Oryctolagus cuniculus: one gene and its partners. The protein of the gene in region 2 interacts with the protein of the main gene of each other region in a biochemical or structural test. Links are inferred from orthologs where the notes say so. Each region holds a gene or a part of one and is shown on either strand. Other genes may lie near its edges.

What was found.
Region 1: the proteins of EEA1 (region 2) and RAB5C form a complex in vitro, tested with the Homo sapiens proteins (2 studies listed by BioGRID and IntAct, with this or other methods). The link is inferred for Oryctolagus cuniculus from reciprocal best matches to the Homo sapiens genes EEA1 and RAB5C.
Region 3: the proteins of EEA1 (region 2) and RAB31 form a complex in vitro, tested with the Homo sapiens proteins (2 studies listed by BioGRID). The link is inferred for Oryctolagus cuniculus from reciprocal best matches to the Homo sapiens genes EEA1 and RAB31.

The regions. Positions count from the first base shown.
Region 1 is NC_091448.1:20,642,926-20,647,019, reverse strand, and holds the start of RAB5C (ras-related protein Rab-5C), read right to left. Parts: upstream 2,801-4,094; 5' UTR 2,642-2,800; intron 2,462-2,641; exon of another isoform or gene 1,726-2,461; intron 1-1,725. UniProt on the Homo sapiens protein: The small GTPases Rab are key regulators of intracellular membrane trafficking, from the formation of transport vesicles to their fusion with membranes.
Region 2 is NC_091442.1:95,678,650-95,682,149, reverse strand, and holds part of EEA1 (early endosome antigen 1), read left to right. Parts: intron 1-187; coding exon 188-310; 3' UTR 311-3,500. UniProt on the Homo sapiens protein: Binds phospholipid vesicles containing phosphatidylinositol 3-phosphate and participates in endosomal trafficking.
Region 3 is NC_091441.1:66,884,570-66,888,652, reverse strand, and holds the start of RAB31 (ras-related protein Rab-31), read right to left. Parts: upstream 2,801-4,083; 5' UTR 2,633-2,800; coding exon 2,594-2,632; intron 1,495-2,593; exon of another isoform or gene 1,480-1,494; coding exon of another isoform or gene 1,459-1,479; intron 1-1,458. UniProt on the Homo sapiens protein: The small GTPases Rab are key regulators of intracellular membrane trafficking, from the formation of transport vesicles to their fusion with membranes.

The DNA.
Region 1 (4,094 bases), on a different chromosome or scaffold from region 2:
GCTGACTCCAAAGCCCTAGTGCCCCCCATCCCACCACACCGCCTCTGTGTGTGCTGGGCAGGGGTTACAGGAAGAAGCCTCTTCTAAGAAGCACTTGCTTGGTAGGGCTGAACTTGAACTCCTGACCTCCTTGTTTCCAGTAAATTCAAGTGAAGGCGCGTCACCTCGGGCAGCACTGCAGGGCAGCCGGAGGCCCTCCCGCCCTCACTGGGGCCCAGGAGGCCCCCGAGCCCAGTGGCTTTCACTTTCACTTTCCAACCATCAGCCGGCAGGTTCCCAGGAAACTGACGGCAGTCAGATGTCAGCGAACTTGGGCCCTGCAGAGCACCAACTCCTGTCAGGGCCCCTGCAGGCAGAGCACAGGGGGCCAAGGAGGAGGCCAGGAGGCCGGGGTGAAGATGGGGGAAGAGATGGGAAGCAGAGCAGCGCCAGGGACAAGGATGGTGCAGGGGCTCAGAGCCTGCACTGTGCCCCTGATGCTCACCCTACCTGTTCATTCATTTAAGGGCCAGTCACTAGGGAAGGCCGAGGTCACATCTGAGCCCAGATCCCAAGCCTCAGCGCCATCACCTCCTAACCGCGTGGTCTTAGGCATCATCTCCAATGTGGAAATGCAAATCTCACTACCTCCCAAGGAACGTGTGAGGGACGTGTGTGAAAAGAAGTCTGCAACTCTGCAATGACCTAAAGCAATTAGCAGTTACCATCACCCTGTAGTATAGCAGCAGAAAAAAGGCCAGCTCGCTGTGACGGGCCCAGGGAAGGAGGGAACATGTTAGAGAGGAGGGGCTTCTGCCCCACACAGAGCCCTCCCTCTGCCAGGCAGGGTTCGTCCTGTTACGATGCTTTAATTTTTGGAGGCCAGAGTGGCTACACAGCCACCCAGAGCTGTACAGCCTTCCCCACTGTTCTGAACAGGGAGCTGCTCTTCCCGAAGCCTGCTTCCGAGTCAGAGCTGCAACGCAAAGAAGAACCCCTCGGACGGCCGCTCGGCCTCATCCCTGCACTGCTGCAGCGCTCCGCCAGCCACGGCCCACCCCGTCAGAACCAGCGGCCCTGCCCTCAGCCCCACAGCCCCACCAGGTCCGATGAGGAGGGCGGACAAAGTCTCCAAGGAGCCCACACGGGCTCAGGGCTCGTGATCCAGCTGTTGAGCCCAATAAGGAAGTTTTGCTTTGTTGTCCAATAAAAAGTGAAACAAGTGCGTTCAAGACCGAGCTCAAAAGACTGTAGGGACCACACACTAGCAACTGTCCAGAGCAGCAAAAAAGATCTCAAAGCAGAAACACCTTTAACACTGGGAAGCAGCAGCCAAGGGCAGTGAGGGCGGCCCAGGAACACCAGGAGCTCCGGCGATTCCGGCAGCGTGGGGCTCTCCTCCCTTCCTCCCCTGCAGATAGCAAGGGTCAGTCCTGGCCTCAGGCAAGCTGCTCCTCATTAAGGTAGTCTCTGGCCTGTACTTTGGCCACGTAACAGAACGGTCTAGCCTGGTCTGAGACAGCAGCCATTTCACACACCCAGTTCCTAAACAACAGAGTAGGATCCTATGGCAAAACAGCCGGGGGGAGGGGAGGGCAGCCCTTTCTAGCAGATTTGGGAACTCCTCTTGCTACAGAAATTAGCTAAGAACCCAAGACTGCCACTGTGCCCTCGACTCATTGGTCTGTAGTACGTCCAAGCCCCGGGGACTGAGGCGAGGCCCCGGTGAGGGTGGACCTGTTGCTGGGGCGGCGGTCGAGTGTGTGTGTCTGGGAGCAGCAAAGAAACGGTCCTTCAAGCCCCAGCTCCTCACTTCTCTGGGCTTATTCTCTCCTCTACAGCCCAGCGGACAAGGCAGTCCCGCAGAGGCAGCTTGGGGAACCGCTCACGTGCTCTCGGGAGGACAGGGCTGAGCCTGGAGCCGAGGGGGAGGAGTAGGGGAGCCAGAAGATAATGAATGGGCAGAGCCACCCTGACCTAGCATTGAGCAAACCTCAGCTGAATTCTTCAGAGGCAGGAAGAGAGATACACTCAAGAGGACAGGGCCGGGGGACAGCGGGGACAAAACAAGAAGGCTGCTCGTTCCCAAGGAGTGCCCCGCGCCCCAGACTCCGCTGAGGTCCTGGCTGGCTCTCTGGCTGGAGGAGGGAGAACGAGTCGGGAGTTGTGGGAGCACACACACTTCTATGCGCGTGGAGTCGCCTCCCCCAGACCACCCTCCCCCAAAGGAAATCGAGACAAGACTTCTCCAGGGCTGGCGGGGGACAACTGCTTCTGTGGGACCGGGGTGGGGGGGACACGGCGACAGACAGCCCTCCCCGCCACCTCTACGGGAGAAGAGGGGCAGGTTCCTGCACACCTGGCAAAGACCGGCCGATTCTGGGAGCAGGGAGAGCGGAACTCAGGGTCCCTCTCCGCCGCGACTGGACTGGACAGGCCAGAGGAGAGCCGCAGGGGTTTCCCCAAGGTTCACAAAGGGCAGGTAAGTCGAGGAAAGAAGGGATCTTCCTGTGGCCTGACGCCTGCGGAGCGCCTTAAGAAGGGGCTACGGGTCGGGGGAGGGGTCAGTATCCCCCTAAGATAGGGCTGGGCAGAAGGAAGGGCTGCCCCGCAAAGGCAACTGGGCTGGAGAGACACTGGATCCCAGGACAGGCACACTCACAGCGGCTCCGGGGACGGCGGCGTTACTTGGGGACGGGGCTCGGACAGGTTTCGCTCCTCTCCCCCCCGGCGGTGTCCCAGGCTCCGGCCTCCACTTCCGCCTTTCAGCCGCTCCGGATCCGGATCTCTACCTCCGCCCCGCCCCTCTTACTCCCAGGTGACTGACAGGGCGGAGAAGCCAATGGGAGGCCCTCCTGGCCGACCCATAGGCGGTGCCGGTGAGGGTCGCGGGAGAGGCGGGAGAGAGCGAGCGAGGGACGGCGGGACTTGTAGTTCGCAGCACTGGGCGGAGCCGTCGCCTGCTTGGGACTTGGCCTTAGGGTGGAGCCGGCTGGGGCGAGGCGGAGCCGGCCTGGGCTGCTAATCGCGTCACTGCGGGTTCCAGGAGCCCCGAGGGAAGGCGAATGGCTGCGGAGCGATGGGAGAGGGCAGACGACTGTGTGTGTAGAACTGGGGAGGGGGCAAACGTGATGTGAATGAGTTCGTACGGGAGGCCGCGTGGGTCTCGTGCACTCGCTAACTGGGAGCAGCCCCTGGCCACGCTTCCTGAAGTTGGGGGCACTGTGTGATGGGGAAGGCGCTCTGGGATGCTAGGTGACATAGAAGGGGGCGCTTTATAAACCCTCCTGCGTTGGGCTGGTCCCTAGACACACAGAACCACCTCTGCCCCTCTACCCCTCCCCACACCCGACTGGAAGCAGATACAGAGCTGGATACCTGCTGCCTCAGCTGGAATCCCCACCCCCACGTAGGTTGAGACATTTCCGACGCCTCTCCCTCAGGTTTAGGGCCACTTCTCCTTATTCTCCCCGCCCCCCCTTCCCCTCCTCAGCCCCTCACCTCCCAACACAAGCCAGTACCTCTCCTATTTCTTCCTCTCACTCCTCAGGGACGCTACCCAAAAGCCCTATGGAATCTGTCTGTGACAGCCGCCATCACCCGTCGTAGCCTAGAGGCTGAGCTGCAGAATCTGGCTGCACATCTGGCTGCAGCTGGTTAGCAGGTGCTTCTTTCTTTAGAACATCCACAGCTCCCCTCCTCCTGGCAGCCACCATCAGAGAAGTGAAAGCTGGGAGGGCTTGGGAGGGCAGGGGGCATGGGGCAGGGTGAGATTCCCACCAGGAGCTTGGCTGGTGCCCAGCTCTTCTCCCAGCGCCTGCTGCACGGAGCCCAGCAACCCCTCCCTGGGTAGGAAGGGTAGGGAGTCCCCTGGGCACTCCTTGCCAAGGCTGGAGGTAGGCCTGAGCCAGGACTCTGTCCCTCCCACATACGTGTATCTGGTGAGGGGGGGAGGAGGGCACATAACAGGCCCGTGGTGACTCATTAAGGTCTCTTCCTCATCCCTGGGGCCCCTGGTGGCGTGAATGTGGTGCCAAGTGGATTGCTTGGCTCCTCTGCCCTTGCTGGAGGTGACAACAGGGCTCTGGGGTATGGTGAGGGAGTGGCTGCCGGGC
Region 2 (3,500 bases):
TAACAAGTAGAAAGCATTTATTTTAACAAAAAGATTAAGGTAACATTGAAATACGTCACTAAACAATACACCAGTCACTCAAACGTTAATATACTTTTACAGTGTAGTTTGCTATATTCGTATAGTTTCATATACTTTCCATATAATTTTATGCTTGAAAGTGTTTCTTCTTTTATGTCGTTTATAGCATCATTGCCGACAGTGTGGGAATATCTTCTGTGCTGAGTGTTCAGCCAAAAATGCCTTAACTCCTTCTTCCAAGAAGCCTGTTCGTGTCTGTGATGCATGTTTCAATGACTTGCAAGGATAATGGATTATCACAACTTCAGAGTAATAGTACACTAACAATAGATTTTTAATAAATATACTTAATAGAATTCATGGACTACTGTTTGATTGGGACAGTGGTTGCCACACTAGACCAAATTAGAATTCGTATATTTTGCAATGTTATCAATATCAAGTAAAAGTCTTCTATTTTTGTGAGACTTGGGCTCATCTTTCATTACTTTTTTTTCATTTAGCCACTAGAACAGCTTTCATGCTAAGTTTAAAATCAGCCAATGAAATGTAAATAAACTTTGAACAGAAAATAGCAATGTATTTTTTTAATATAATTTCATTGTTCATAATGGTGAATTCCATAGCTTGTTTTTCCCAGTTTTAATATACAGAAATATACATGAATGATGTTATCACTTATTGCTGTTTTTGTTGCACAACACATTAATCATATTAAATATTATCTTTGTGGAGTCATGCACAAAACTGTAATAATTTCTGGCTACCTTTTCCTCTTATACATAGGTTCACAGCTCAGTTATATTATGTAATAAATTTACTACTTGGGTGTTCTAAATATAGTTCATGTCAAAATCTGTATTAAACATGAATTTTAACTTGGTTTTTGTTTTTAACAATATTGATTAAATTCTCTGGTACATTTTATGAGAACCTCTGTAAAATTAATTTGTGTACTTTATGGTTATCCTGGGATTGTATTTTAAAGTTAGGGTTAATATTCTTTTTTCTTTTTGTATTTTTCTGTATCATTTTCTAACTCCCACATAGTGTCTATTTAAAATACTACAAAACTTCCTACCCTTACCCTCAGCTGCAGGATGAATATTAGACACTGTGTAATGGTCCTATTCTTGTTTGCTTGTAATTGGGGAGTTTTCTGAAACTAGCCTTCTTATCATACCCTTCTTTTTTCTCTCCATCATCTTTAGGAAAGTGAGTTTGCCTTTTTTAATGGATCTGTTTTCCCTTTTCTTGGCTTAATCTTTCCAAGCATAGCTCAGCTTCATTGTAATTGTTTCATATTTTCCACCTTAAAGCTAGTAATTAAATTGTAATAGTTGTATCTATGAAAACAAAATAAGAAATGGTAAGAAGATATTAAATATTCTGCTTTATATTTTCTTCTAAAAATTTTTAAAAAATTATACAATTGACTTAAGCTTAAAATCGTTCTGGGTTGGATTCCACATCAACTGGGAATACTTTTTTATATATAATGATATAAAAAATTACCTTGAAGTAACAGCTGGAGAATAGAGCTTCACCCAAAACATTTATATTTAAAAAAACTCAAAATTGCCATAAAGACTGAAACTGAATAGCTAAGCATCTTAAGAATAATTAAGGATCAGCCAACTTGAAGGCTAAACGATTTAACTGAGCATTAATTTATCATAATTTTGTTGATTTGAAAAAGTGGAAAACATTGAAGAATCATTAATATTTGTTTATTCATCGTCCAAGGAAAGATATGGAAAATTATACATTAATTTAATGCAATCATTTAATAACAATAGCCAAGGATGGGAGTTAATATGTCATTTACAATAGTTTATAATGTACACTTTCAAATATTGCTGAAATGAAATTATGTCTATGCTATATCTAGGATATATATAAACTAATGGAGATTGTCACATACTTATTTCATTATTTAAAAAACATTTTAAGTAAACCATGTTGTCAATAACTATTGACACTGATTAAGTTCCAGGATTTGGATAAACATATATTCTTGAGCATATATAATAAAGAAATACAGTGGCTCTTTATCAAAAATAATAGTTGGATAATATAACCTAAGATGTTTTATGCTTTTTGTATACTTATAGATCCTTTCAAATAGTCTTAATCCTATACTTTTACATTTATTTAATAAATTAAATGTATTAGAAAATCAAAGATACTCCCAGCACCACTGTATCGTTTTCTTTTTAAGATAAAACTTAACGAGAATTCTGGATTAGAATATCTGTTCTCATCTCCTAATTGGATACACTACAGGAATTTCCTGGTAATCCCCACCCCTCATTTTCATATACACACACACACAAATTGTGGACACACAAATAAAACCATGTGTGTTTGAGTGATTTTTTCTTGTTTTTTTTTTTTTTTATACAAGTAATCTGATTTCATATGTCCTGAATAATTTATGTACCTTAGGCTACTATACTGATCATACAAAAAATGAAACCTGATGTTTTCACTGTTAATTTTCTTTAATTTAATATGTTTTGGAAATAAAAATTAAGCCCCTCCCCCATTTTAATTAAGAAGTCCTCTTCTGAGTTATTGTTGGCTATATAGTTTAGATGTTTGTTGGTACTATTATTTTGTTGGTGAGTTAGAGCTGACACATATGGAATCCCAGCTCTTGGCTCTAATGTAAAACATATTGACATCACGTTAGTAAATTGCAAACTCCAGCACAGGAATGTGAGTTAAAACCAAGTCTTGCTTGGTAGTTAGAGTAAGATAAACCTACAGAATTTTTTAATAGAAAGAAGACAAAGCTGCTAGTATAGGACTTGCTCATTTTGAAGGAAAAAGGGAACAAACACAAAAACCTCAATGAAGTATACAAATAACATTTTGTTCAACTACCTCTTAATGTGGAGTTAGCCAGTTTAATAGTTTCTTTACAGTAATGTTAAATAGTAACTGCCAAATTTGTTGTTTTCCCATCCTTCAAAAAGTCTTTATGATTGTTTTATATAGTTCTGAGAATTTCAAAGCCACTTTTTTAACTTTGCATTTGCATAAAAATGTTTAGCTTTTAAGTGAAGAGCAAATTATGATCATATATTTTGATATTCATGACCTGTTTGACTAGCAATTTTTTTTTTGAAATGCACTTTGGCTATAAAACCATGGATGATTTGATCCATAGATTTAATAAATGTGCCATCAATTTAGTATTCCTGGACATGAGCTTGATGAATGGTATTCTGTAATTTTAATGTGCCACACATTATCATGTCTTAATTGCCCTTTGCCTGAATTTTAATGATCAATTTGTTATTGTTGCAGATGTGAATATTGTGCATAAACTTACTAAATTTATGTAAAATTGTATAAAATAGAATTGGGAATCACTAGGTCCTTTTTGTGTAGAAGTAAAGAATTTATTGTAAAGATGATACAGTTATGTATATGACATTCTGTACTTCCTTGAACTGGATCATATGTTCATA
Region 3 (4,083 bases), on a different chromosome or scaffold from region 2:
AATTTCAAACAGGTAGTCTAAAGAAACCCAACGCCCCTGAACCCTTGGTCTTCCCAGAGCACAAAGCATCCAGGGAATGTTCCACAGGCCACTGTCAGCCCCATCTGGGAGCACTCACCAAGAGAAATAAGAGCAGACACGCCCAACATGCCGAGAAAACAGCCGAGCGGCCAGGGTTGTGAAAGCGCAGGAACAGGTAACAACGTCATCACCAGCAGACAGAACCTTCTGACACTCCACCTCAGGCAGCTAGAGCCAAAGTCACCAGCTGGCACTGCCAATGCCCCAAACAGCCGTACCTTCAATGGGAGGCATGTCCCCAAGCCATCAATGGGCAAATGGTCAGACACAGGATATCACCCCTCCAGGCTCTCCTAGGAGACAAGCAGACCCTGTATGAGGCCCTCTGGGCAATGGAGGGTGTGGCTGCCAGGGTCTGTGCGGCCTCAAAGAGGTGCGGCCTGGCTAAAAAACAGGAAGCTGAGTGGCAACTATGCACAAGACTTCACCCAGAGCAGCCAGACCTCCCTCTCAAAGAGTGCAGGCCCTGGGGAGCCTGGCACGCCCTCTTCCATCCACTGACCCTCACGGCCTTGCACACCAACAGGGTACGTCTAAAGCAGTTAAGGGCCCTGACGTCCCCAAGTGCGACATCAGCCAGATAACTGCCCTATCCAATGAGCACCTCCAAGGACAGCCTGTAGCATGCATCTGGCCCAGGAAAAGACCTGCCAAACCACCGGGACTTAACAAAGACAACTCAGTGTGGTTTATCAGGTCAGCCGCCCTTTCAAATAAGATACCCTCTGACCTCAATGAGACTGCAAGAGCTACCCTCAAAAGCAGGAGCCACACACTGATGTCCCCAAGCCACTTTCTGCCCAGAAATCTCTTCCCTGTCTCAATCAGCAATGTTCTGCCCCTCCAAGTTCAATTTCCTACCAACAGAGCCATCTCAAACAGTTAGCATAGGTGAGACTGGGCTCCAGGAAGCTGCCCAAAGAGTCTGTTTCGCTCTTGGAGATGCAAACAACAACAACAACAAACTAAACAGAACTTTTCCTACAGCTTGCTGTCACCCTGGGATCACAGATCACCAAGAATGCCACCATGGATCTTAAGGGATCATCTGGCAGAGTCCTCCACCTTAAAAGGCAAGCTGTGATTCTGTCCATTTTACAGATGAGACGGCTGAGTTCTTGTCCAAAACTGCACGGCTGGTTGGTGGGAAAGAATGAGAGCCCAGGTTTCCTGCTTCCTGATACAGGGCCTTTGCCACCTGATCCATGTCCACATAGAAGGCTGGACCCTAAACAATGATTGAAAATATGAAGTCACACGACGGGAGAAGCCCTGTGCCGCCTAAGTAGATGATTAGGGATAAAGTGTCACTCACATACACACACACACACCCCACATGCATCCAAAGTGCTCTCGGTCATGTGGGACGCAACATACCCGAACCTCCCAAGGAAGCATGGACTCTGGTCATTCTGGACAGACTAGAAGACAGGAGGCCCCCTCCTGCCACGTTGAAAGGCAAGAGGGACCCGAATGGCATCCTTCCAGGTCCAGGCTGCTGCCGACCAAGTCCAGAGGGCTGGGAAGTCTCAGGCAGTCTGAGGCTAGCGCCATCCAGTGAGTGTGAGTCACGGGCAGGGGGTAGGGCTGGGGAGGACACAGTTCTGCCCACCGATGGTTCCAGAAGGGCCTGGATGAAGCCCAGAGCCGCCCGCGGTCTGGTTCCACAGAGTCCTAACCTGGACACACCTCTGTCCTTCCGTCCCATCTGACTGCTTAGCACTTCTGAGGCCCGTCAGAAGGGGTCTAATCCTTCCACTGCTCTTTTAAGGGAAACGGAGTTCTTGGGAGGCAGATTTGGCCAACCGCAAGGGCGGCACACCAAGCCACCAGGCCAAAGTCTGCAGGAAACACGGCCTGCCTTTAAAAGCAGCAATTCTGGAACTGGATGTGGCCCCCAAATGGAAGGGACCCTCAAACATCCCCGAGTCCCCAGGGCCGCCAGAGCGCTGCGCACCCGTTTCTGGCTACTCCTTCGGGTTAAGACACAGCCCGCTGAGGAGGGGAAGTGGTGATGGGGGCCTCTCTCCGCCTGCTGCTGCTTGTCCCCAGCTCCAAAGGCCGCCGCACCCCCAGCCCTGTCCCTTCTGCCCCCTCCAGCCCGGCCACCCTCAGATGGCTCACCTAGGGCTCGGCTTTTATTTATTTATTTATGTTTGATAAACCAACGGCTCCAGGAGGCACACGAAGACGGGGGCCTGGGCTGAGGAACTTAAACTTGCGGGCGGAAGGAAATTATCAAAGACGAAGACGAAAGCTCTCCCGGGCCGCCGCGCCTCCAGTCCCCGCCGAGGGAGCCCGGGCGCCCCTGCCCGGCCCGCCCGCAGCCCGGCGAGGCCCGAGCGGCTCCGGGCGGGGAACGCGCCGGGGCCGAGGCGGAGCGAGTGGAGAAAACTCGGGGACGGCTCCGGCTCGGGGCGCACGCTGGGGCGCGGGGAGCGCACAAGCCTGGGGCTGGGGGCGCTCGGAGGCGGGCGCGGGGCAGGGACAGGCGGAGGGGGCGCGCACTCACCCCGAGAAGGCACACTTTGAGCTCGCGTATCGCCATCATGTGCTCGGGGCCGCGTCGGCCGGGGGCTCAGCAGCATCGTCCGGGGCCGGGGCCGCTGCGCCCGCCCAGCCTGCGTCCCGCGGCTCGGCCCCCGCGCCAGCCCGCGGGCGGAACCGCCGCCGCTGCTATTTCTGGGCCGCGCGCCGCGCCGCGGCCGGTCACGTGGCCGCCGGCCGGCTCCTCCCGGGAGCCCGCGGAGCGGCTGGGCGGCTGGGACGGCCTCCTGGGCCCCCTGGGCATCCGCCCCTCGCCGCCCCGCCCCAGGGGGTGGAGGCACGGGCCGGGCTGCGGGCAGACCTGGGCGCAGTGGACGCTGCTGCTCGCCCGGCCGCTTCCTTCCGACGGGGGCCCTCGCCGGGCAGTGGGCGTCCCGCCGCTAACCGCCCCGGTGGTGCCCCCCGGTAGCAGTCGGGCCTGAGCAGAGGGGCGACCGTGCGGCCGCCTTCTGCAGTTCCTAGCGCCTGGGCCTCGCTTTGCGGCTTCATAGCTCGGGTTCAGTTCTCTGTACGTAACTGAAGATGATTCTAGAAGCATTGGTCTCTTCCTGCCTCCACAAGTGGCATTTGGGAGAGGGGACCCGCCTTCTCCGTGAGACAGTTCGTGCTGGGGCCAGACGTGGAACCAGAAATGCAGAGTTGCGGGCAGACCAGGTGAAGAGGCTGCAACTTGGGAGAGTGGCCGCTGGGTTCCTGTCCCTGCTCCACGCACCTCATATGCCCTCCTCTGTTGCTGCTGTAAGCCAGCTAAATAATCCACTGGTATTTCAGCTGGGAAATTTTTTTAAGACTTTTTAAATTTTTATTTTCTATCTCAAAGAGTGACAGAGAGATCCTCCATCTGCTGGTTCACTCCTCAATTACTGGCCACAGCCAGGGCTGGGCTAAGTCAAAGCCCGGAGCTGGGAACTCAGTATGGGTCTGCCCAGGCACTCTGACCATCATCTGCTGCCTCCCTAGGGTGCGCATTAGTAGGGTGCTGCATCAGAAGCAGAGTAATGAGGACTCAAAGCAAGCACCCAGACATGGGATGTGGGTATCCCAAATGGTATCTTAACCTGTGCACCAAATACCTGCCCCCTCAACGCCAGCTTTCAAAATTTCATCCTTTGGGAACGGCAGTGTGGTGTAGCGGGTTAAGCCACCACCTGCATCCCTGGCATCCCATATGGGTGCAGATTCGTGTCCCAGCTGCTCCATTTCTGATCCAGCACCCTGCTAATGGCCTGGGAAAAGCAGTGGAGGATGGCCCAAAGCAGTGGAGGGTGCCACCCTTTTAAGAGACCTGGAAGAGGCCGGCGCCGTGGTTTACTAGGCTAATCCTCCGCCTGTGGCGCCGGAACACCAGGTTCTAGTCCCGGTCAGGGAGCCGGATTCTGTCCCTGTTGCTCCACTTCCAGGCCAGCTCTCTGCTGTGTCCCGGGAGGGCACAAGTCCTTGGGCCCTGCACCCACA